3 linked regions of the Anolis sagrei genome follow. The protein of the gene in region 1 interacts with the protein of each later gene in a pairwise test. Links are inferred from orthologs where the notes say so. Each region holds a gene or a part of one and is shown in the gene's direction. Other genes may lie near its edges.

Region 1 (7,341 bases):
TGTAGAGACATCACACTGGCAACAAAGATCGGCATATTTAAAGCAATGGTATTCCCCGTAGTTACCTATGGATTTGAGAGCTGGACCACAAGGATGGCTGAGCAAAGGAAGAGAGATGCTTTTGAACTGTGGTGTTGGAGGAAAATTCTGAGAGTGCCTTGGACCGCAAGAAGATCCAACCAGTCCATACTCCAGGAAATAAAGCCAGACTGCTAACTGGAGGGAAGGATAGTAGAGGCAAAGATGAAGTCCTTTGGCCACATCATGAGAAGACAGGAAAGCTTAGAGAAGGGAATGATGCTGGGGAAAATGGAAGGAAAAAGGAAGACGGGCCTACCCAGGACAAGATGGAGGGATGGCATCCTTGAAGTGACTGGCTTGACTCTGACGGAGCTGGGGGAGGTGACGGCCAACAGGGAGCACTGGCCTGGTCTGGGCCAGGAGGTCACAAAGAGTCGGAAGCGACTGAACAAATAAACAACAACAACAGAGTCAATCAAATCTTATTACAAACTAGCCGTCCCCTGCCACACATTGCTGTGGCCCAGTCTGTGTATATGTGTTTTGTGTGTGTATATATGTGTATATATTTGTGTATATGTATATATATGTGTGTATATGTGTGTATGTGTGTGCGTGTGCCTGTGAGACGTGGACTGTCTACAGATGTCACATGCAACTCCTGGAATGATTCCATCAGCGTTGCTCCAGAAAATCCTGCAAATCTCTTGGAAAGACAAGCAGACAAATGTCAGCATGCTGGAAGAAGCAAAGACCACCTGCACTGAAGCGATGGTCCTCCGCCATCAACTCCGCTGGACTGGCCACGTTGTCTGGACGCCTGACCACCGTCTCCCAAAGCAGCTCTACTCTTCAAGAACGGAAAATGGAATGTTGACGGGCAGGAAAAGAGATTGAAAGAAGGGCTCAAAGCTAACCTCAAAAACTCTGGCATAGACACTGAGAACTGGGAAGCCCTGGCCCTTGAGCGCTCCAGCTGGAGGTCAGCTGTGACCAGCAGTGCTGCAGAATTTGAATAGGGAAGAATAGAGGGTGAAGGAGAGAAACATGCCAAGAGGAAGGTGCATCAAGCCAACCCTGACCGAGACCGCCTGTCACCTGGAAACTGATGCCCTCACTGCAGGAGAAGATGCAGATCAAGAATAGGACTCCACAGTCACGTACAGATCCACGGCATACTACACACTGACCCTGGAGGACCATCATCCTCAGACAACGAGGGATCGCCTAAGTAAGTAAGGAAATAAAGTGTATGTGTGGTTTTGCGCATGTGTTGTAATGTATTTTTATGGGATTTTTTGCTTTTTAGTCCCTTCTGCTGTGTTTTTCAGTGTTTTAATTAGTGATGGTCATTCATTGGCCTGAGATGTGAATTGAGGCCTCACTTCAAGATCTTTGTCATTCAGAGAAAGAGCGGAAAAGAATCATTGGAAGCCAGGTAGAACCTTCAGGAAAACAATTGGCCAGTGGCAGTTATGTCATAGGATTCTAAAGCTGCCTAATAGAAAGGCAGAGCTGGAAGGAGCAGCTTGGACAAGGTTAGCTCAAAAACAGAGGTGAATCTGTAAGAAATGGACTAGGGGGGGAAAAGGACCGTCTAGAAAAGGATAAGGACTTGCTTGGACAAGGCTAGCTCAAAAATAAAAGGTGAGTCAGTAAGAAATGAACAGGGAAATAAACAGGAACGCAAAAGAGGAGCACTCTCAGCCTTACTATGAAAATATTTAATAACTAGCTGTACCCACCATGCTGTACCCTCTTTCTCTCCTTCCTTCATTCCCTCTTTCCTTCCTTCCTTTTCTTCTTTCCTTCTCTCCTTCCTTCTCTACCTATTTCCTTCTCTCCTTCGCTTTGTTTCCATACTTCCTTCTCTCTTTCCTTCTTTCCTTCCCTCCTTCTTTCTCTCCCCCTTTTCCTCCTTTCTTCTTTACCTCTTTCCTTCTTTTGCTTTGTTTCCAGCCTTCCTTCTCTCTTTCATCCTTTCCTTCCCTCCTCCTTTCTCTCCTTCCTTTGCTCCCTCTTTCCTTCCTTTTTCTTCTTTCCTTCTCTCCTTCCTTCTTTACCTCTTTTCTTCCTTCCTTTGTTTTGTTTCCATCCATCCTTCTCTCTTTCCTTCTTTCCTTCTCTATTCCTTCCCTTCTTTCCTTCCTTCGCTTTGTTTCCATCCTTCCTTCTCTTTCTCTCTTTCCTTCCTTTTTCTTCTTTTCTTCTCTCCTTCCGTCTCTACTTCTTTCTTTCCTTCCTTTGCTTTGTTTCCATCCTTCCTTCTCTTTCCCTCCTTCCTCTTTCTTCTTTCCTTCTCTCCTTCCTCCTTTACCTCTTTCCTTCCTTCACTTTTTCCATCCTTCCTTCTCTTTCCCTGTCTCCTTTCTTCCTTTTTCTTCTTTCCTTCTCTCCTTCCTTCTCTACCTCTTTCCTTCCTTCCTTCGCTTTGTTTCCATCCTTCCTTCTCTCTTCCCTTCTTTCCTTCCCTCCCTCTTTCGCTCCTTCTTTCCCTCTTTCCTTCTCTATCTCCCTTTCTTTCTTTCTTTCTTTCTTTCTTTCTTTCTTTCTTTCTTTCTTTCTTTCTTTCTCCCCTTTCTCCCCTTTCTTCCTTCCCTCCCTCTTCCTTCCCTTTTTTTCTGCATTGTCATTTAGCTTTTTGTCATTTAGCTTGTTTTGATTTTTAAGTCCTTTCTGCTGCTGGTTTTCTTTGGGGAGGGGGGTTATGAGTGATGGTCACTCATTGGTCCATTAGGGGTTTAGTGTCCAAATTTCATGTCAATTCATCTAGTGGTTTTTGAGTTATGTTAATCCCACAAACAAACATTACATTTTTATTTATATAGATGTTGCTGAACTCGGTCTAAACCAGGATTAGCATCTAGCTCATTTCTGATGCTAATAATTCTGGCCACACTTTTCCAATGTAATATTAATGCCAAATGCCCAGATAGATGGCTGACAATCTCTTTAATTCAAATCCAGGACAGATACTTAATTGTCTGGGGTGTCTTTAGGCTCTTTCCCACCCACCATAGAACATGAGAATAGTACTTCTAGCATATCTCAGCCCCAAGCAATAGTTACCTATCAATAGACAAATGGCAGTTCCCAATTTTCATGACTTATTTTGTAAGCTTACTTAATGTATTTTCTACCTTGCCATATAGATTATAGATAGCTGCTCTTTGTTTCTTACATGATTTAAAAAAAAATTGCATGTGTTATTATTGTTCTGTATCACATCAAAATCTTCATATGGATTTGCAATTAAATACATAAACTGGGGAGAGGTAAGAAATAGTTTTAAGATAGTCCCATGTCCTCGCATGGGAAGGTAGAGCTGATAGATGGGTGCTCACCCTGTCTCACAGATTCAAACCGCCGACCTTCAGACTAGCAGTTCAGCCAGCACAAGGGCTTAACTCATTGCGCAAACGTGGCTCCATATGTCAAACGACATACGGCAGCCATACTCCTGTCTACAATTTCTTTACATGAGTATCAATCATTATTACGAGGGTTGAATGAAAATTAATGCCTCCACCTTCATAACTCCTCAACAGATGGCAGTACTGGTATGCGGCAGGTATTGGTTTGTTCAGTAGACTCTCCTCTACAGTTCCATTTTGACAGGAAGCCTTAGCATTGAACAGTTGTGTTGTTAAAGTGCGAAGTATGGAACCCTGCGCAGACAGTCGGTAAATATGACTTAAGCAACGTGTAGGCATTGAATTCTTGACAGCAGAAGATGCCACCTCAACATCTTCAAACTTACTTGCCCAGTGACACACAATACTCACATCAACACAGTCACCATAAACAACTTGCATTCTCAGATGAATCTCCTGTGGGGTGACACCTTCAATGACTGCACGTTGCTTAAGTTGCATTGACCGACCGTCTGCGCAGGGTTCCATACTTAGCACTTTAACAACACAACTGTTCAATGCTAAGGCTTTCCACCAAAATGGAACTGTAGAGGAGAGTCTACTGAACAAGCCAGTACCTGCCGCATAGCAGAACTGCCATCTGTTGAGGAATTACGAAGGTGGAGCCATTACTTTTCTGCTAAGGCTTCCTGCCAAAATGGAACTGTAGAGGAGAGTCTACTGAACAAGCCAGTACCTGCTGCATAGCAGTACTGCCATCTGTTGAGGAGTTATGAAGGTGGAAGCATTACTTTTCATTCAACCCTCGTATATTTCAAAGTTATGAAAAACACTTCTACATTGACATAAAGATTGAACTTTAATTCCACTCCTTTTTTCCCCTTGACAGAGCAGCAACTTTAAGCATTTTCTTTCTGAGACCATGTCCACCTCTACCAGCAAAAACCCTTCCACGTCCTCCTTTGTTTCAATCCACGAAAGACCAATCTTCCAGGGTCCTTCCGATACGTCATGGGAGCTGCATGCGGATGATTTCACCAAGGAATTGTCCTGCGGTGTGTGTCTAGAACTGTTCAAGAACCCGGTTATCCTGTCCTGTGGCCATAACTTCTGTAGGGATTGCCTAGAAGACTTATGGAAGAAAAAGGGCATCTTCTGTCCACAATGCCACGCGAGTGTCCCCGATCGAAAGTACATCTCGAACACCGCCCTGGAGAAGATGGCGGATAGGATTAAGACCTACCACGTGGGGTGCCTGCAACAGAAGTGCATCGAACACAGCGAGCCGATGACTCTCTACTGGAAGACGCAAGAAAAACTCGCCTGCTTCACCTGCCGGGAAACTCTGCTACCCAAAGAGCAATGCACACAGTTCCTTCTCATTCCAGATGCTGTACAGATCTTTACGGTAACTCTCATGCCATCACCAGTCTATATAAATAAAAATGTAATGTTCGTTTGTGGAATTAACATAACTCAAAGACCACTGAACGAATCACTGCCATATTTGGCCACAAGACACCTACTCACCCAAGGAGTGACCATCACCCAAAAAATTGGGTTGTTGTAGCTTTTTCGGGCTATATGGCCATGTTTTAGAGGCATTCTCTCCTGACGTTTCGCCTGCATCTACCTCAGAGGTAGTGAGGACTGTTGGAACGAGGAAAATTGGTTTATATGTCGGTGGAATGACCAGGGTGGGACAAAGGACTCTTGTCTGTTGGAGCTAGATGTGGATGTTTCAACTGACCACCTTGATTAGCTTTTGATGGCCTGGCAGTGCCTGGAGCAATCTTTTGTTGAGAGGTGATTAGATGTGCCTGATTGTTTTCCCTCTGCTGTTTTGCTGTTTTAATTTTAGAGTTTTTTAATACTGGTAGCCAGATTTTGTTAAGGAGGAAACCATGAAAATGAACAAAATCTGGCTACCGGTATTAAAAAAATCACTGAGAAGGCCCTGTCTCTCGTCCTTGCCAAACGCGCCTGTGATGGTGGTGGGACCGAGAGCAGGGCCTCCCCAGAAGATCTTAATCTCTGTGGTGTTTCATAGGGGGAGATGCATTCGGATAGGTAAATGGCCGGGGCCATTTAGGGCTTTATAGGCCAAAGCCAGCACTTTGAATTGTGCCCAGTAGCAAACTGGCAGCCAGTGGAGCTGGTGTAACATGGGAGTTGTGTGCTCCCTGTACGCCGCCCCAGTTATTAGCCTGGCTGCCTCTCACTGGACTATTTGAAGCTTCCGAGCAGTCTTCAAAGGCAACCACACGTAGAGGGCGTTGCAGTAATCTAACCTAGATGTGACAAGAGCATGGACCACCATGGCCAAGTATGAATTTCCAAGGTATATAAGCAGTATAGATAGATAGATAGAGTAATGGAATTATTATTATTATTATTATTATTATTATTATTATTATTATGAATGTATCCTAGGCCAAAAAAACACCAGGAAAGCATCCACCTAATAAAGATTCTCTAGAATGCCTATCTATCTATCTATCTATCTATCTATCTATCTATCTATCTATCAGCAGTATAGATAGATAGATAGATAGATAGAGAGAAAATGTAATAGAATTATTATTATTATTATTATTATTATTATTGATAATAATAATATTTTATTTATACCATGCCACCATCTTCCATAGGGACTTGGTACGTCTTATATATAGCACACATGATGCCACACCACACATAAAATACAGTATATCAACATTGAAAACATTAAAAATACAATAACATATTTAAAACCAAACATATAAAATTGACAGAAGTTAAATATAGAATTATTCATTGAATGTCCAAATTGAAAATGTTGATGTCACTATTTTACTTAGGTGTGATGACTTACCTATTCTATAACATTCTTTGTGACTATTTACCCACAGGAAAAGTTGCTCATGATGAGAATTCAGCTCAGATCCATCTTGGTGAAGTTGGAGGTGTTGAAGAATGCCCAGGAAGAAAAGATCAGTAACCACAAAGTGAGTATCATTGATTCAGTAGATCTCTACTTGAATATCTTACTGTTGAGTATTTTAGGTGATGGAAACTTGTGTTTTGTACTTCTGAAGCAAAGGAACACACTGGGGACATTATCACCTGAAGCTGTCAGATGTTGGCTCCCTAGATTAAAAAAAAAAACCAACTTACCACCACATGACATTACCCTAAACCAGTGATTCCCAATCTTTAGTCCTCCAGGTGTTTTGGACTTCAGCTCCCACGATTCCTAACAGCTGGTATGCTGGCTGGGACTTCTGAGAGTTGAAGTCCAAAACATCAGAGGGACCAAATGTTGGCCTAAACCCACTGAAAACCAATCTTCAAGGTGTGTTGAGTAAACAAAAATTGTATTTCCCCATTTTCGGCTCCTGAATTATTATTCAGAAAACTTTAGAAAGCAATTTCTGCCATGCAGTATCATGAATGAAATGCAAAGATACAGAAAGAGGGACATGTGGCTCAAAAGCAGTATGTGTGAAAAAGATATTGGAGTCCTCGTGGACAACAAGTTAAACATGAGCCAACAATGTGATGCGGTGGCAAAAAAAGCCAACTGGATTTTGGCCTGCACCAATAGGAGTATAGTGTCTAGATCTAGGGAAGTCATGATACCCCTCTATTCTGCCTTGGTTAGACCACACCTGGAATCACACTGTGTCCAGTTCTGGGCACCCCAATTGAAGAGAGATATTGACAAGCTGGAATGTGTCCAGAGGAGGGCGACTGAAATGATCAAGGGTCTGGAGAACAAGCCCCATGAGGAGCGGCTTAAAGAGCTGGGCATGTTTAGCCTGAAGAAGAGAAGACTGAAAGGAGACATGATAGCCATGGATCAAGATGTGAGGGGAAGTCATAGGGAGGAGGGAGCAAGTTTGTTTTCTGCTGCTTTGGAGACTAGGACACAATGGAACAATGGCTTCACACTACAGGAGAGGAA
Region 2 (7,198 bases), on another chromosome or scaffold:
TTGTATCTGACTCTGCGGAGCGGTACTATTGATTACTCACATTTGCATGTTTTCGAATTGCTAGGTTGGCAGAAGCTTGGGCTAACAGTGGTATCTCACGCTGCTCCCCGCATTCGAACTTGCAACTCAGAGCTTTAATCCAGTATATATATATATATATATATATATATATATATATATATATATATATATATATCAGCAGTTCTTAAAATGTACTCCACCGAGCCCTTGACATTTTAGTATAGTCAACATCACAACCAGGTTTTCTACATGGTCCAGTTCCTTGTACAAAATATGCGTAATGCATCTGAATAAAGGCTTATTTATGTTGGTAACATGTAAGGGTATAGAGATCATTTGGTGTTTTTGTGATCACCCATTCTTCACTTCTTGGAGCTTATGAGACAAAGTATTTATTGCCTCAGAAATTATCACACTTGTGAAGTTGGTGGTGTGCATGAAATTGTGCATACCTATTAAACATGCAGAGCTAAAAATGTGGTTCCTTACAATAGTTTTCACACCCTCTAATGGCTTTGCATAAAATTACAAGTTTTTTGGGAATTGTGAAAGAGACTGTAAATATAAAACTGAAACTAAGCTAGAAAAAGGAGCCACCATGCTGTAACGACCTGGGTGTTGGACAAAGCCTCCGAAGATATGATCCATATAAAACGGTGCCCCTCTAAGGGCTGTAGTGTAGTTGGCCTAAGGATAGCACCTCCCTCTTATCAAACTGTGACTTATGTTGGTCAGAACGCTGAACAGTAGAAGAACAGCTCTTGGAAAGTTACTTTGAGGAAGAATGGATATAATAACATGTTGAAGCCATCCATAACTGAGCGACGGTAGAATAATGCTCCGAACACTCAGTTACGGATGATTTCAGCATGTTATTATATCCGTTCTACTTCAAAGTCATTGACCAAGACCTGGAGAAGGGGAAATGTTTCTCTTCTCCTTCTCTCTTCTTTTTTGAAAGACAGAACAGAGATCAGTCCTGGAGAGGAACCATCTGGGAAGTGGAATTTTTAGGTCTCCTGATTATAGACTTTTGAATTTGTTTAATTAACCCAAATGCTCCCTTTGGGCTAATCATAAATTCATTGCCTTTGTTAAATTCCATATGGTGTCTACTAGCATCTTAATGCAAAGCATTACTGCAATGCCTTTAAGTTGGCATTTTTAAATTAATATGAATTTTTTATTCACTCCTGAGGTTAATATTTATGGATTAATCTTCTAAATACAGGTTTTTAAAAGGCAGAAAGTTAGCAACATGAACTAAAAGCCCCTGTACATGAAATAAAAGATCTGATTCAGAATATATAAAATATGAAGGGACCAAAAATAGCTTTGAAGTCTTGATTAAAATACCAACCATAGCTGTTCTCCTAATTCATAACAACTGACTTAAACGAAATATTAGAGAGAGAGAGAGGGAGGGAGGATGCTTGAACTGGCCAATCGTACTTTAAAATATATGTATCAGCTATGGGTCGCATGCTACTTCCCTGTTTTTATATCTTATTTACCATGTCTTCAAGAAACTTAAAAAGGGTGTAGTCTAGATGTTATATGTAAAGTTGACATGTTGGGGAAAATGCATTTTGATTAGCTATAACTAGCATAAGTCCAATTCATTTCATAATAAACCTGGATTTATCCCTTTGTCTAAAATGTAAAGATCAATTTACCGAAACATTTGCATATTTCACATCTATGTAATAAAATGTCAGACAAGGCATACATAAGAGTTTATAGTTATATATATAATGGCTGTATAGCCGGCAATTAACTCCACAGGGTAAATAATATCATTGATCATAACAGACAGATATGCTAGAAGGGTTAAGCCAACCATGCCAATTTACTTTGTATGTGATGGGCTGATAAGTATATTCCACTAAACACTGGATTCAAATGCCAAATATGTTTCAAATCAGGACCAAACTGATACTAGATAATAGATACAGTTCTACCTGTGACAAATTGCAGTTTGTTCAACTATCTTTTCAGTTTTAGGGCAATAAACACCAAGTTCAGTTGTACACTATGGGTCTATTTATTTCTGTAATATACGTAGTATGAGCAGAACTTGTAACTTAGTATTTTAGCGCCAGTGCATTTTGAAGGGTTGTGGTGGTCTTGGTAAACAGGAATGCAAAAAGAAGTGTCTTAGCAAGGAAGTCATGTGTATGAGGCATTAGACTGAATCCTACTTACGTTCACAAGCATGATTGTTTTTAAAAAATGATCAACATGTTTGAGATGAGATTTCAGATATTATTAACGGGTGATTCATTGTGTCCTGACTTCTCTGATCCACCTTGCTACATTTACTGGCAATGAGTTCGCACAAGCAATCTCAGAGCACTTCCAGACAACACCAAATTGCGGATTTTCTATGGGGCAAAAAAACAAGGACCTGAGAGCAGGTCCGCACACAGACCTGTAGATGCCAAGATTTGTGCTTGTAACATTCGGACTTGCTGCTGTGTTCCAGGATTTAGAAGCCTGCAAGATGGCTACTGTGGGATGTCCACTGGAAATTCCAGCTGATTAAAAAAAATGTTAATGCACTGATGTAAATATGTGCATTGTTCATACAAGTTTTGTTCCCGGGATATATATGTCAGTTCCCCATTGGTTCCATCATAAAAACCTGGCAAAAGTTGATTACAGGGCAAAAACTTAGTCCTGGCAAGAGGAACATTGTTGTCCACCCATTTATCAAAGTTTGGAACATACAAATAAAGTTTTTGCTGTGTAATTAACTTTCCCCATGTTTTTACAATAGAAGCAATGAGGAACCGATATTTATAACCCGAGAAACAAACTAACATAAAAACTCCCGCATTTTCTGAGTGCAGAGACACATAGAGATTTGAAAATCTGAATCTTCTGCCAGAACCAGGATATTCCTGCACTACTTTATCTTGGTTTTTTGGCTTTGTAGCAATTGCGCCTGCATTTTCAGTTGACATCGTCTAGCCACCCTCTATTTTGAACTGGGAGCTCCTGAGATAAAGGTACTGTGTGGATGGGTCCTCAGACAGTTGGGGAAGTTACTGTTTTGGTCTATATTTCCCAAGATTTTCCTGCCAGCATGACCTCTGAGGACTGTAGCAAAAGGAATCGAAAATGGGTCAACAAAAATTGGCCAGTTTGGAAAAACTCTGCTAATGGTCAACATCAAATACAACCCTTTTACAGCATCAGTGTATAATACAACCACATAACTGGTACCCATGGTTTCATCTACATGCATCCAATAAAGTGTATCACCTCTAGGTATGTTCTGGGTCCTCCAAATAACTCTATGGTATTTACTATAGAGTTGCATTGGAGTACTTCATACATTTCTGGAGAGGATACCTCTCAGGAATTTTGTAGTTTCTCTAGAATGACTCTATGGAAACTTCTGGTGGAAATTTAGTTGGATTCACAATTGTCTATGGTTTCCACAGTAGGTTAAGAAATGTAAACTATGTGGACAGGCCTGTAGCCGAAGGGAGGGGGGGGGTTAGGGGTTCAACCCCCCCTTCGAAATTTTTCAGGTTAAAAAAAAACCTGGTTTACTCATGAATTTTAACTAGTTAACCAAATTCCCATTCTAAGTCTATGAGATGCAAAAAATTAAGAGAACTGCAAGCACTATCCCGAACTACTACTCCAGAACTGCAAGCACTATCTCAACCAAATATTGACAATTTATTCACATTGTCATTACTTGCAGCAATAGCCAATTCAGTGAAGCAACCAAGTTGGGGGGGGGGGTGTTGAATGCTCTCATTAAAGAGGCCAGACTTGGTGGAGGTGGTTGACAGGGGCGGAGCTGCAGGCTATTGAAGGCTGCTCTGTCCCCTGATGTGCTCTTTGCTTCAGTGTGAGCTAGGAGGCATGTTTCAACATCCCTGAAATTTTCAAAACCCCCCCCCCCCTGAAATTTTCAACCCTCCCCGAATTTTTTTTCTGGCTATGGCCCTGCCTGTGGATATGGGGGTCATGCTGTAATCTCGTCAACTCATGCTCTAATTTGAAATTCTGATACACTGAAAAGTTACTGAGCACCAGCATTGAGTCACATTGTGCAATAGCTCAACGATAAAATAAGCTGACCTACCCTTTGGAAATAATCCAGAAACTGCTGGAGGTTGAAGAGCAAGTGATGTGTGTGAAAGGTTTATGGCTGAGTGCTACTAAGAACTGAACATTGATTTTTGAAAGAAAAAAAACACAACACAAATTGTTCCACCCCTTCTATGCCTCTCAGTCTCACATTTACCCTCAAGTATTTTTAAAAGGAAACATTCTTTCTAGGGAATGTGTCTGGCATAGCCCTCCATTGGCAGTCCCGTGACTATGGCATTCTCCTCTCTAACTCCAGTCTTTGTGGCAATTATCTGCGTCTTGATTGGAATAATAGTCAAAGGCAGAAGGACAAACTCCAAGAATGAGCCAAGGCAAACAAGTAAGAAAGTGGAGTCTCGTCCATGGGTGGATGATGATTTAAAAGACAGCACTGACCTTCACCCTGAGGAAGAAGGTATGTAAAAAAGTGAAAAGGGTTTGGCATTTGTATGCCTGTGTTTTTCTAGTCTCGGGAGGAAATGAAAAACATGGCCTTTTCAAACATTTTAGGGTGTTGTTGAGGAATTGTAAGTAGTTGGAATCCATCTCTTGAAGTTGACAAGAAAATGAATAACAGTGATGGTGGGGAAGCATAGCATAAATACATTGCTTCAGCGTAACATCAATGCGTGCTTGGCAGAGTTACATTATGTTGTCCCTGTACCGAATATCAACACAGCACAATGTATGTGGATGAATTGCGAAGTTTGTGTCTGTCAAAAGATGCTAAATGCAATAGAAAAAACAATGCATAGAGGCAAAACACTGATTGCATGTGTATTACTGTGCAATGCTCCCACATGTACAACTCTATTTCACTGCCATGAGTTGGATGTGACTGTTGTGCATGTCCCCTAAAAAAAAAATCACTCCACAAGTATAGTACAATTTACACTGATAGATGTTATTAACAAGATCCTGGCTAGTGTGTTTTTGATTTTAAAATATACAGCTCACAGATTCCAAGAGGAGAAAAAATGGGGGTTGGGAAACGTATTTGTTTTGCAAACCTCGTGCTGGTTAGGAGATTCTGAGGCCCCTTCTACACTGCCCAGGATCTGATCCCAGATTATCTGCTTTAAACTGGATTATATGATTCTCCACTGCCAGATAATCTGGGATAAACTGATAAACTGGGATCCAGTCCTGGGATATAGGGGCAGTGTAGAAGGGGCCTGAGAATTGTCCTCAGTATAAGTAACTTTCCCAAGTTCTGGGAAGAACGAAATGGCAATGATAGCTTTCCTATCCATAGTGCCTCCTATATGGACATCTGGTATCTCTAGGTGGTGAAGGGTTTGACTGGCAAAAGAAAGCATGCTGATGAAGGTTAAGCAGTGGTTCTCAACCTGTGGGTCCCCAGGTGTTTTGGCCTACAACTCCCAGAAATCCCAGCCAGTTTACCAGCTGTTAGGATTCCTGGGAAGTGAAGGCCAAAACATCTGGGCACCCACAAGTTGAGAACTACTGGATTAAGGGGAAGGAAGGATGGAGAGCAGAATTATCACCGATGCAAATTTATATTCCATATTGATATTGCAATCCCACAAATATCTATGAAAACAGAGGGTCTTCCACACAGCCATATAACCCATAATATCAAGGCAGATAATCCACTTTCTGCTTTGAACTGGATTATCTGAGTCCACACTGCACTGTGATCCTGTTCAATGTGGATTTTATGTAGCTGTGTGGAAGGAGCCAAAAGTAGCATAGAGTTTAGTGGGTAAATGAGAACAGCTGGCTCTTCATATCCACAGATTCTGCATCCATGGGTCCCATCATCCACAGCTCAAAATATTTTAAAACTTTTGGTATCCTCAGGGAATCCTAGATCAGGAGGACCCACTGTATAGAACTGCATCTGAAACCATATTATGCACAGTAGCTAGCATCTTGTTGCGGCACACATTAAAAAGGTATTTAGTACTGATCAGATGGATTCTGAATCAAGAATAACATTTTATGACCAGCTATAACTGGATTGGGTTTTTCCTACAACTGTTTTTTTTAAGCACAAACGTTTATGCTTTCTGCTTTGAAAAATACCACTAAATCAGTCTAATATATCCTATGAGCATGCCAGATGGAAAATATGTCAGTTTCATACTCCATACAAGTATGCCACATAATGGATGTAAATAGATTCTAAACAGCAATAGTAATTATCCTTGTGTCCAGAACAAAAAGCAAACAAGCAGATTTTGAAATCTGGGAATGTGGCAATGCTAAATAAAACCCTCTTTTTCCAATTCACTTCTCAGGGCCCATCTACATTGCCACATAATCCAAAATATCAAGACAGATAATCCACATTATCTGCTTTGAACTGGATTATATAGCAGTGTAGACTCATATAATCCAGTTCAAAGCAAATAATGTGGATTTTCTGATTTGATAATCTGGATTATATGGCAGTGTAGAAAGGGCTTCAGTTTTTTTATTGAAACAATCCAAATCACAAATATGCTTTTAAAACATTTACCTTTAGATTAAAATAGCTTTTGGAAGGAGAATGTTTTAAAATAAGGTAGTTACCTGAATTTTGTAAGAAACATGTGAAACTGTGTATAACAACAAATCCTATTAAAATCAAGGACTTACAGCCAGGAATGCTATAGAGCAGTGTTTCTCAACCTTCCTAATGCCATGACCCCTTAATACAGTTCCTCATGTTGTGGTGATTCCCCCCAATCATAACATTATTTCTGTTGCTACTTCATAACTGTAATTTTGCTACTGTTATGAATCATAATGTAAATATCTGATATATATGATGTATTTTCATTCACTGGACCAAATTTTGGCACAAATCCCTGATACGCCCACATTTGAATACTGGTGGGGTTGGGGGAGTGGCATTGATTTTCTCATTTGGGAGTTGTAGTTGCTGGGATGTATAGTTCACCTACAATCAAAGAGGATTCTGAACTCCACCAATGATGGAATTGAACCAAACTCGGCACACAGAACTCCCATGACCAACAGGAAATACTGGAAGGGTTTGGTGGGCATTGACCTTGAGTTTTGGAGTTATAGTTCACCTAAATCCAAAGAGCACTGC
Region 3 (6,917 bases), on another chromosome or scaffold:
AGAGCTCAAAGAAGACAAAGAAATATATAGCAGATACTCTTCTCCCTCCAAATATTTGGGAGGCATGTAACTTGGGTAGCATGTCCGTGTGTGTGCATTGGCATATCTTTATTCCTAACAGCTCAAAGAGATATTTAGGACATCAGTTAAACAGCCAAGGAACCTAGTTGCCTTGCACAATGCTGGTGAATGCCATTTTTCCAAAAGGTTATGACTCTAATCATAGAATCATAGAAGCATAAGAGTTGGAAGAGACCTCATGGGCCATCCAGTCCAACCCCCTGCCAAGAAGCAGGAATATTGCATTCAAAGCACCCCTGACAGATGGCCATCCAGCCTCTGTTTAAAAGCTTCCAAAGAAGGAGCCTCCACCACACTCCGGGGCAGAGAGTTCCACTGCTGAACGGCTCTCACAGTTCAAATGTAATCTCCTTTCTTGTAGTTTGAAGTCATTGTTCCGTGTCCTAGTCTCCAGGGCAGCAGAAAACAAGCTTGCTCCCTCCTCCCTGTGACTTCCTCTCACATATTTATACATGGCTATCATATCTCCTCTCAGCCTTCTCTTCTTCAGGCTAAATATGCCCAGCTCCTTAAGCCGCTCCTCATAAGTCTTGTTCTCCAGACCCTTGATCATTTTAGTCGCCCTCCTCTGGACACATTCCAGCTTGTCAATATCTCTCTTGAATTGTGGTGCCCAGAACTGGACACAATATTCCAGGTGTTCATGCTTTTTACCAAGAGGTTATGGCATTGTTTTTCAAAAGGATGTGACTTCTAACAAGGTCATGCCTTTCCAAAATCATAAAATCTCTGAAAATGTTAAATTTGAAGTCCAGTAATATCTGGATTGCTACAGGAAGCCCACTGGCTTTAGAGATCCATGTGCCGTGGCGGCTCATTTCACCCAAGAACCTTTTAAAGGAAGGCTTTACAAACAGTCTTCTCTTCCATACACAACAGTGGGATGGCGAAGGATACAACTTAGGGAGCAGTTCAGGGGCTGCATTTCTAGACTCCCTTCTTCCTATTCCAAGACAGATTTTTTAAAACAAGCATGGAGTTGGCATTTCATCACATTTAAGAATCAAAATGAGTAGAAGTGTGAAAGGATCGTGATCAGGGCAAGCGGAGACGCAGCTGCGTTTCTCATTATCACAGCCCTGTCTGAACCTGATAGGGTTGGAAATGCAAGAAGGGCCTTTGGGGGATGGGAAGGTGCTTCCAGATGCAGTTTTTCTTATCACTCTACCTCATTCATCAACCTCTCCTTGAGGTCCAGATACCATTGTCTTCAATGTGCAGCCTTCACGAGCGTTTCTCATTGTTTCATCCATTATTATGGATGGCGCAGTGGGTTAAACTCCTGTGCCGGCAGGACTGATGATCGACAGGTCGCAGGTTCGAATCCAGGGAGAACGTGGATGAACTCCCTCTAGCAGCTCCAGCTCCTCATGCGAGGACACGAGAGAAGTCTCCCACAAGGATGATAAAACATCAAAACATCCGGGCGTCCCCTGGGCAATGTCCTTGCAGACGACCAACTTGCTCACACCAGAAGCAACTTGCAGTTACTCAAGTGGCTCCTGACATGACCAAATAATAATAGTAGTAATAATAATAATAAATCCATTATTATTTTTCTTACCACAGAGTGCCCTAAAGAAGACAGTGGAGCGTTGCATAAAAGTGCCACTCCTTGTGAAAAGTAGACTTCTGTCTGGAAACTGGAGTGTTATGTGGTTTCCGGGCTGCATAGCTGTGTTCTGGCAGCATTTTCTCCTAACGTTTCACCTGAAGCTCCTCTGAAGACGCCAGGCACAGGTGCAGGCAAAACATTTGGGAAAAGCATGACCTTTGAGATCATAGGTAAAGGTTTTCCCCTGACATTAAGTCCTGTCAGGTCTGACTTTGGGGGTTGGTGCTCATCTCCATTTCTAAGCCGAAGAGCCGGCGTTGTTCATAGACACCTCCAAGGTGATGTGGCCAGAATGACTGCATGGAGCGCAGTTACCTTCCTGCTGGAGCAGCACCTATTGATCTACTCACATTTGCATGTTTTCGAACTGCTTGGTTGGCAAAAGCTGGGGCTGACAGCGGAAGCTCACCCCCCCCCCCCGGATTTGAACCTGCGACCTTTCGGTCAACAAGTTTAGCAGCTCAGCAGTTTAACCCACTGTGCCACCGGGGGCTCCTTTGAGATCCTAACCTTTTGGAAAACCAGAATCTCCAAAGCCTTTTGGAAGCATGACCAAGCGTTTGCACTGTGATTTTCAGCACAGCGATTGATTTCTCAGTGCAACAATGAACAATACAAATGGCAATTGGAATGGTTCCCGGCATATGTTTTTGGATTGTGTGATTTTAATCGATATGTTTTAATTCTGTATTTATTTATCATGTCATCAGCAATCAGACATTTTTAACAAAAACAAAACAAACACACAGACAGAACACAGAATTTGCAAGCTTGGTAGTTGCTTAAATGTCCTTTGACCAGTATCTGGCCACTTGGAGTGCCTCTGGTGTTGCCGCAAGGAGGTCCTCCTTTGTGCATGTAGCAGGGCTCAGGGTGCATTGCAGCAGGTGGTCAGTGGTTTGCTCTTCTCCACACTCGCATGTCGAGGATTCCACTTTGTAGCCCCATTTCTTGAGGTTGGCTTTGCATCTCGTGGTGCCAGAGCGCAGTCTATTCAGTGCCTTCCAAGTCGCCCAGTCTTCTGTGTGCCCAGGGGGCAGTCTCTCATCTGGTATCACCCATGGATTGAGGTTCTGGGTTGCCTGCCACTTTTGGACTCTTGCTTGCTGGGGTGTTCCAGCGAGTGTCTCTGTAGATCTTAGAAAACTATTTCTTGATTTAAGTCGCTGACGTGCTGGCTGATACCCAAACAGGGGATGAGCTGGAGATGTCACTGCCTTGGTCCTTTCACTATTGGCTGCTACTTCGTGGTGGATGTCAGATGGTGAAATACCAGCAAGACAGTAATTTCTCCAGTGGTGTAGGGTGCAGACATCCCGTGATAATGCGGCATGTCTCATTAAGAGCCACAACCACCGTTTTAGTGTGGTGAGATGTGTTCCACACCGGGCATGTATACTCAGCAGCAGAGTAGCATAGCACAAGGGCAGATGTCTTCACTGTGTCTGGTTGTGATCCCCAGGTTGTGCCAGTCCTGTGATTTTAAAGTATACGTTGTTTTATTTTTATATGTATTCAAGGCATCGAATTGTGCCTGTGTTGTGAGCCGCCATTAGTCCCCTTTGGGGTGAGAAGGGCGGGATATTAATGAGGCAAATAATAAAATAATAATTAATTGGCATTCACTACCATTTGGAATAATCATAACCCTTTTGTAAATTATTATCTCCCTGAGAAGAGCTAAATCTTCTCTTTAGTAGAAAATATCCACCAGTATTCATGCAAGGCAATTAGGTTTCTCAGTTGTTAGACTGATATACCTGGTTATCTCTTTGAACTGTTAGGGATAAAGATAAAATATATAGCAGATCTTCAGAAGTGTTGTTTCAGTTGCCCAAAAAAATCTACTCTCATAAAATATATTTGGTTTTAAATCATCCTCTCAAGAGACAAAAATAAGTAGTTTTCGTTAAAATAACATAGCTGGTTTACTTACAACTTCATGTATTCAGCATACAGGTGTATTGCTTATGAGTTGAAAGTTTAAACGGTAAACTGCATTCTGTTGCAGCCTCTTCTCTGTCTTATGTCTAATGCACAAGGAACTCACTCACTCACTCACTGACTGCGCTTTTGCCTGCCCGCCCCTTTGCTTCTCTTTACTCCAGCGGGGCGTTCTCTTCCCACCCTCTGCGGGAACCCTGCCTTGCGATTGGACGCCAGCGCCGGGAGAGCGCCTCCTCCTGGCATTCTCATTGGGCCGCGCCGCTGACGGACACCTTGGTTGCAATGGGCTTGTAAAGGGGGCTCTGCTCCTGAGAAGCTGGGAGCCAAAGGCAGAAGGCGCATATCCCCTGGAGCGCTGCTGCAGCCATCATGGGGGTGGACGTGGAGACCATCACCCCAGGAGACGGTATGGGGCCCAGCTCCCATTGCTTTGGCTGGGGAGGCTCTTTGGGGTTGGGGGGAGAGGGTGCTGTGGCTTTGGGGGGACAAGGAGACCTCTGCGCATGCGCGCCCCCTTTCAAATCTGATGGGGAGGCTTGTCTTTGCAAGGGCAGTTCTGCAGCAAAAGCTCCTTGAGGCTGTGTGTGGCCCCAATACACTGCCACTTAAAATCCAGGTTATCTGCTTTAAACCGGATTATATGCCAGTGTAGACTCAGGTAATCAGTTTCAAAGCAGATCATGTAGATTATCGGATTTGACATTATATGGCAGTGTAGACTCAGGTAATCCAATTCAGAGCAGATAATATGGATTATCTGATTTGATAATCAGGATTATATGGCAGTGTAGACTCAGATAATCCATTTCAAAGCAGACAATGTAGATTATCAGATTTGATATTCTGGATTATATGGCTAGACTCAGGTAATCCATTCAAAGCAGATAATGTGGATTATCTGATTTGATATTCAGGATTATATGGCAGTGTAGACTCAGGTAATCTATTCAAAGCAGATAATGTGGATTATCTGATTTGATATTCTGGATTATATGGCAGTGTAGACTCAGGTAATCCATTCAAAGGAGATAATGTGAATTATCTGATTTGATAATCTGTATTATATGGCAGTGTAGACTCAGATAATCCAGTTCAAAGCAGATTAGGTGGATCATCTGCTTTGATAATCTGGGTTAGATGGCAGTATAGAAGGGGTCTGTGTCTGCTTTTCAAACCTTTGCCAAGCGCATTGATGGTGCAGCTGCACTGTAGAATTGATGCAGTTTCATACCACCTAGATTACCAACTGTCATAGATCAGTTCTATGTAATTCTGGTAATTGTAGTCTCTCAAGGCACCAGCACCCTTTGGCACAGAAGGCTCAAGACCTTGGGAAACTACAATCCACAGTGCTGTGGAATCTGGGGGATTGTAGTTTCCCAAGGTCTTTAGACTTCAGTGCCAAAGGATGCTGGTGCTTCATGAGACTACAACTCCCACAATTACATAGCACTGATCCATTATGGTCGAATGGGTATCAAACTGCATCAGTTCTACAGTGCAGATGCACCCAAACTTTTCTGCAATTGACAAAAAAGGACCTAGTTCCTTCATGGTGTTTTTTTTTGGGGGGGGGGGAAGTGTTGTGGGGATGACTGGGGACCCTTCTACACTGCCATATAAAATCCAGTTTATTTGTTTTGAACTGAATTATATGGCAGTTATTTATTTGGTATCAAAAGTAAATTAGTATAAAACTGATAAAACGGAAGGCACGCAGGTGGCTAAATATCTTTTGATCAAAAACAGTCAACAGCAACGGCATTGTCTGTAGCCTCCAACAATTCCTCCTCTGTACGTGAAGCAGGGCACCATGGACAAGCATACAGATGCGGAGTTGTCTGTTCTGCTCCACAGTCACACAAGGTGTGGGATTCTTCGAGGTATATGGCAGTGTAGACTCATAATCTAGTTCAAAGAAGATACTGTGGATTATCTGAATTGATAATCAGGATTATATGGCAGTGTAGAAGGAGCCTGGGCTTAGTGACTCCCCAGAGTTGGGAATGGATCAGGAATGGAGGTGTGCCAAAGCGCAAAGGTGGTAAACACAAGAACCCTTGCATATCCCTAATATAAATAGGAAAAATGGGAGGCCGGAGGTGCAAGTCTCTATCCAAAGTCAGTGATCTAAATGAGTGGAAAAGCCCTGGAGGGCTCTGCAGGATGAAGGGGCTGCAGCCCTCTTGCTTTTCTGGCAGCCGCCAGCGATTAGGGATATTTAAATGGCATTTGCTGACAGCTGCATAAATCCAAGCAGGGTGAATTGATTTAGTAGCAGGAGCAAATGACAGTCCACTCTGCGCTTCCCTGCTTCCACTGTTCTGCAGACGGAGCCGGCACACATCCAACCACAATAACGTGAAGCAGGAGAACTTTTGCAGGAACCATAATCTTGATGATGGGATAAATGTCTGGTGGCAACGGTGGATGCAAAAATCCATGCTGACGCATAGTGACTGGCTATTTCAGCCCGCTTCTTGTCGCCTCTTTCACGGGAAGCAGCCACCTTGTTGATGATGGCAGAATTTTCCTGATGTGTGTGGCTTAATTTTAGAATATCTTGGTCGGATTCCAAAGTGGAGAGCACCATGCTGGATTTAACCCAGTCCCTGGCACAGAGGAAGCATCATCATTGCTTTTTTTGCTCCTTTTTAAATAGTCATGCGACCCTGGCTTGAATGCAAAACCTGTGATTCCTGAATACAATTGTTGGCGTTTTAGCTACTTCTCAGAGAGTTTTAATACAAAAAAAATATTGCTAGCTTGTATCCTCAATTGGGATGTAACTCATCCAGGTTCAGAGGCGGCATACCTGTTAATACTAATCAGGGAATAATAGTGGGGGAGAACTATTGACTTTCTAAAAGGCATTTATTTGAAAAATAGGATGCTTGGTTAAGTATCACATAGGGTACATCTGCACTGTAGAATTAATGCAGTTTGACACCACTTAAACCTTCATGGCTCAGTGCTATGGAAGCATGGGAGTTGTAGTTTGGTGAGTCACCAGCACTCTTTGATAGAGCAGATAGTAATATTACAACTCCTGTGACTCTATAGCATTACATTATGGTTGTTAAGGTGGTGCCAAACTACATTCATTTTACAGTGTAGCCGCACTCATGGATCAAATCCTTGGAGACTTCCCTGTATACTTTTGGATAGCCAAACAGCATTCAGTTTATTGTCAAAGGCTTTAATGGCTGGAATCACTGAGTTGCTGTAGGTTTTTTGGGCTATATGGCTATGTTCTAGAAGCATTCTCTCCTGA

The links.
Region 2: the proteins of TRIM69 (region 1) and IYD interact in binary tests that used the Homo sapiens proteins (3 or more experiments, as listed by UniProt). The two-hybrid records come from large-scale screens. The link is inferred for Anolis sagrei from reciprocal best matches to the Homo sapiens genes TRIM69 and IYD.
Region 3: the proteins of TRIM69 (region 1) and FKBP1B interact in binary tests that used the Homo sapiens proteins (3 or more experiments, as listed by UniProt). The two-hybrid records come from large-scale screens. The link is inferred for Anolis sagrei from reciprocal best matches to the Homo sapiens genes TRIM69 and FKBP1B.

The regions. Positions count from the first base shown.
Region 1 is NC_090029.1:25,772,436-25,779,776, forward strand, and holds the start of TRIM69 (E3 ubiquitin-protein ligase TRIM69), read left to right. Parts: upstream 1-4,317; coding exon 4,318-4,803; intron 4,804-6,286; coding exon 6,287-6,382; intron 6,383-7,341.
Region 2 is NC_090021.1:73,065,841-73,073,038, reverse strand, and holds the start of IYD (iodotyrosine deiodinase 1), read left to right. Parts: upstream 1-4,197; 5' UTR 4,198-4,365; coding exon 4,366-4,549; intron 4,550-7,198. UniProt on the Homo sapiens protein: Catalyzes the dehalogenation of halotyrosines such as 3-bromo-L-tyrosine, 3-chloro-L-tyrosine, 3-iodo-L-tyrosine and 3,5-diiodo-L-tyrosine.
Region 3 is NC_090021.1:139,422,423-139,429,339, forward strand, and holds the start of FKBP1B (peptidyl-prolyl cis-trans isomerase FKBP1B), read left to right. Parts: upstream 1-3,916; 5' UTR 3,917-4,012; coding exon 4,013-4,049; intron 4,050-6,917. UniProt on the Homo sapiens protein: Has the potential to contribute to the immunosuppressive and toxic effects of FK506 and rapamycin. PPIases accelerate the folding of proteins. It catalyzes the cis-trans isomerization of proline imidic peptide bonds in oligopeptides.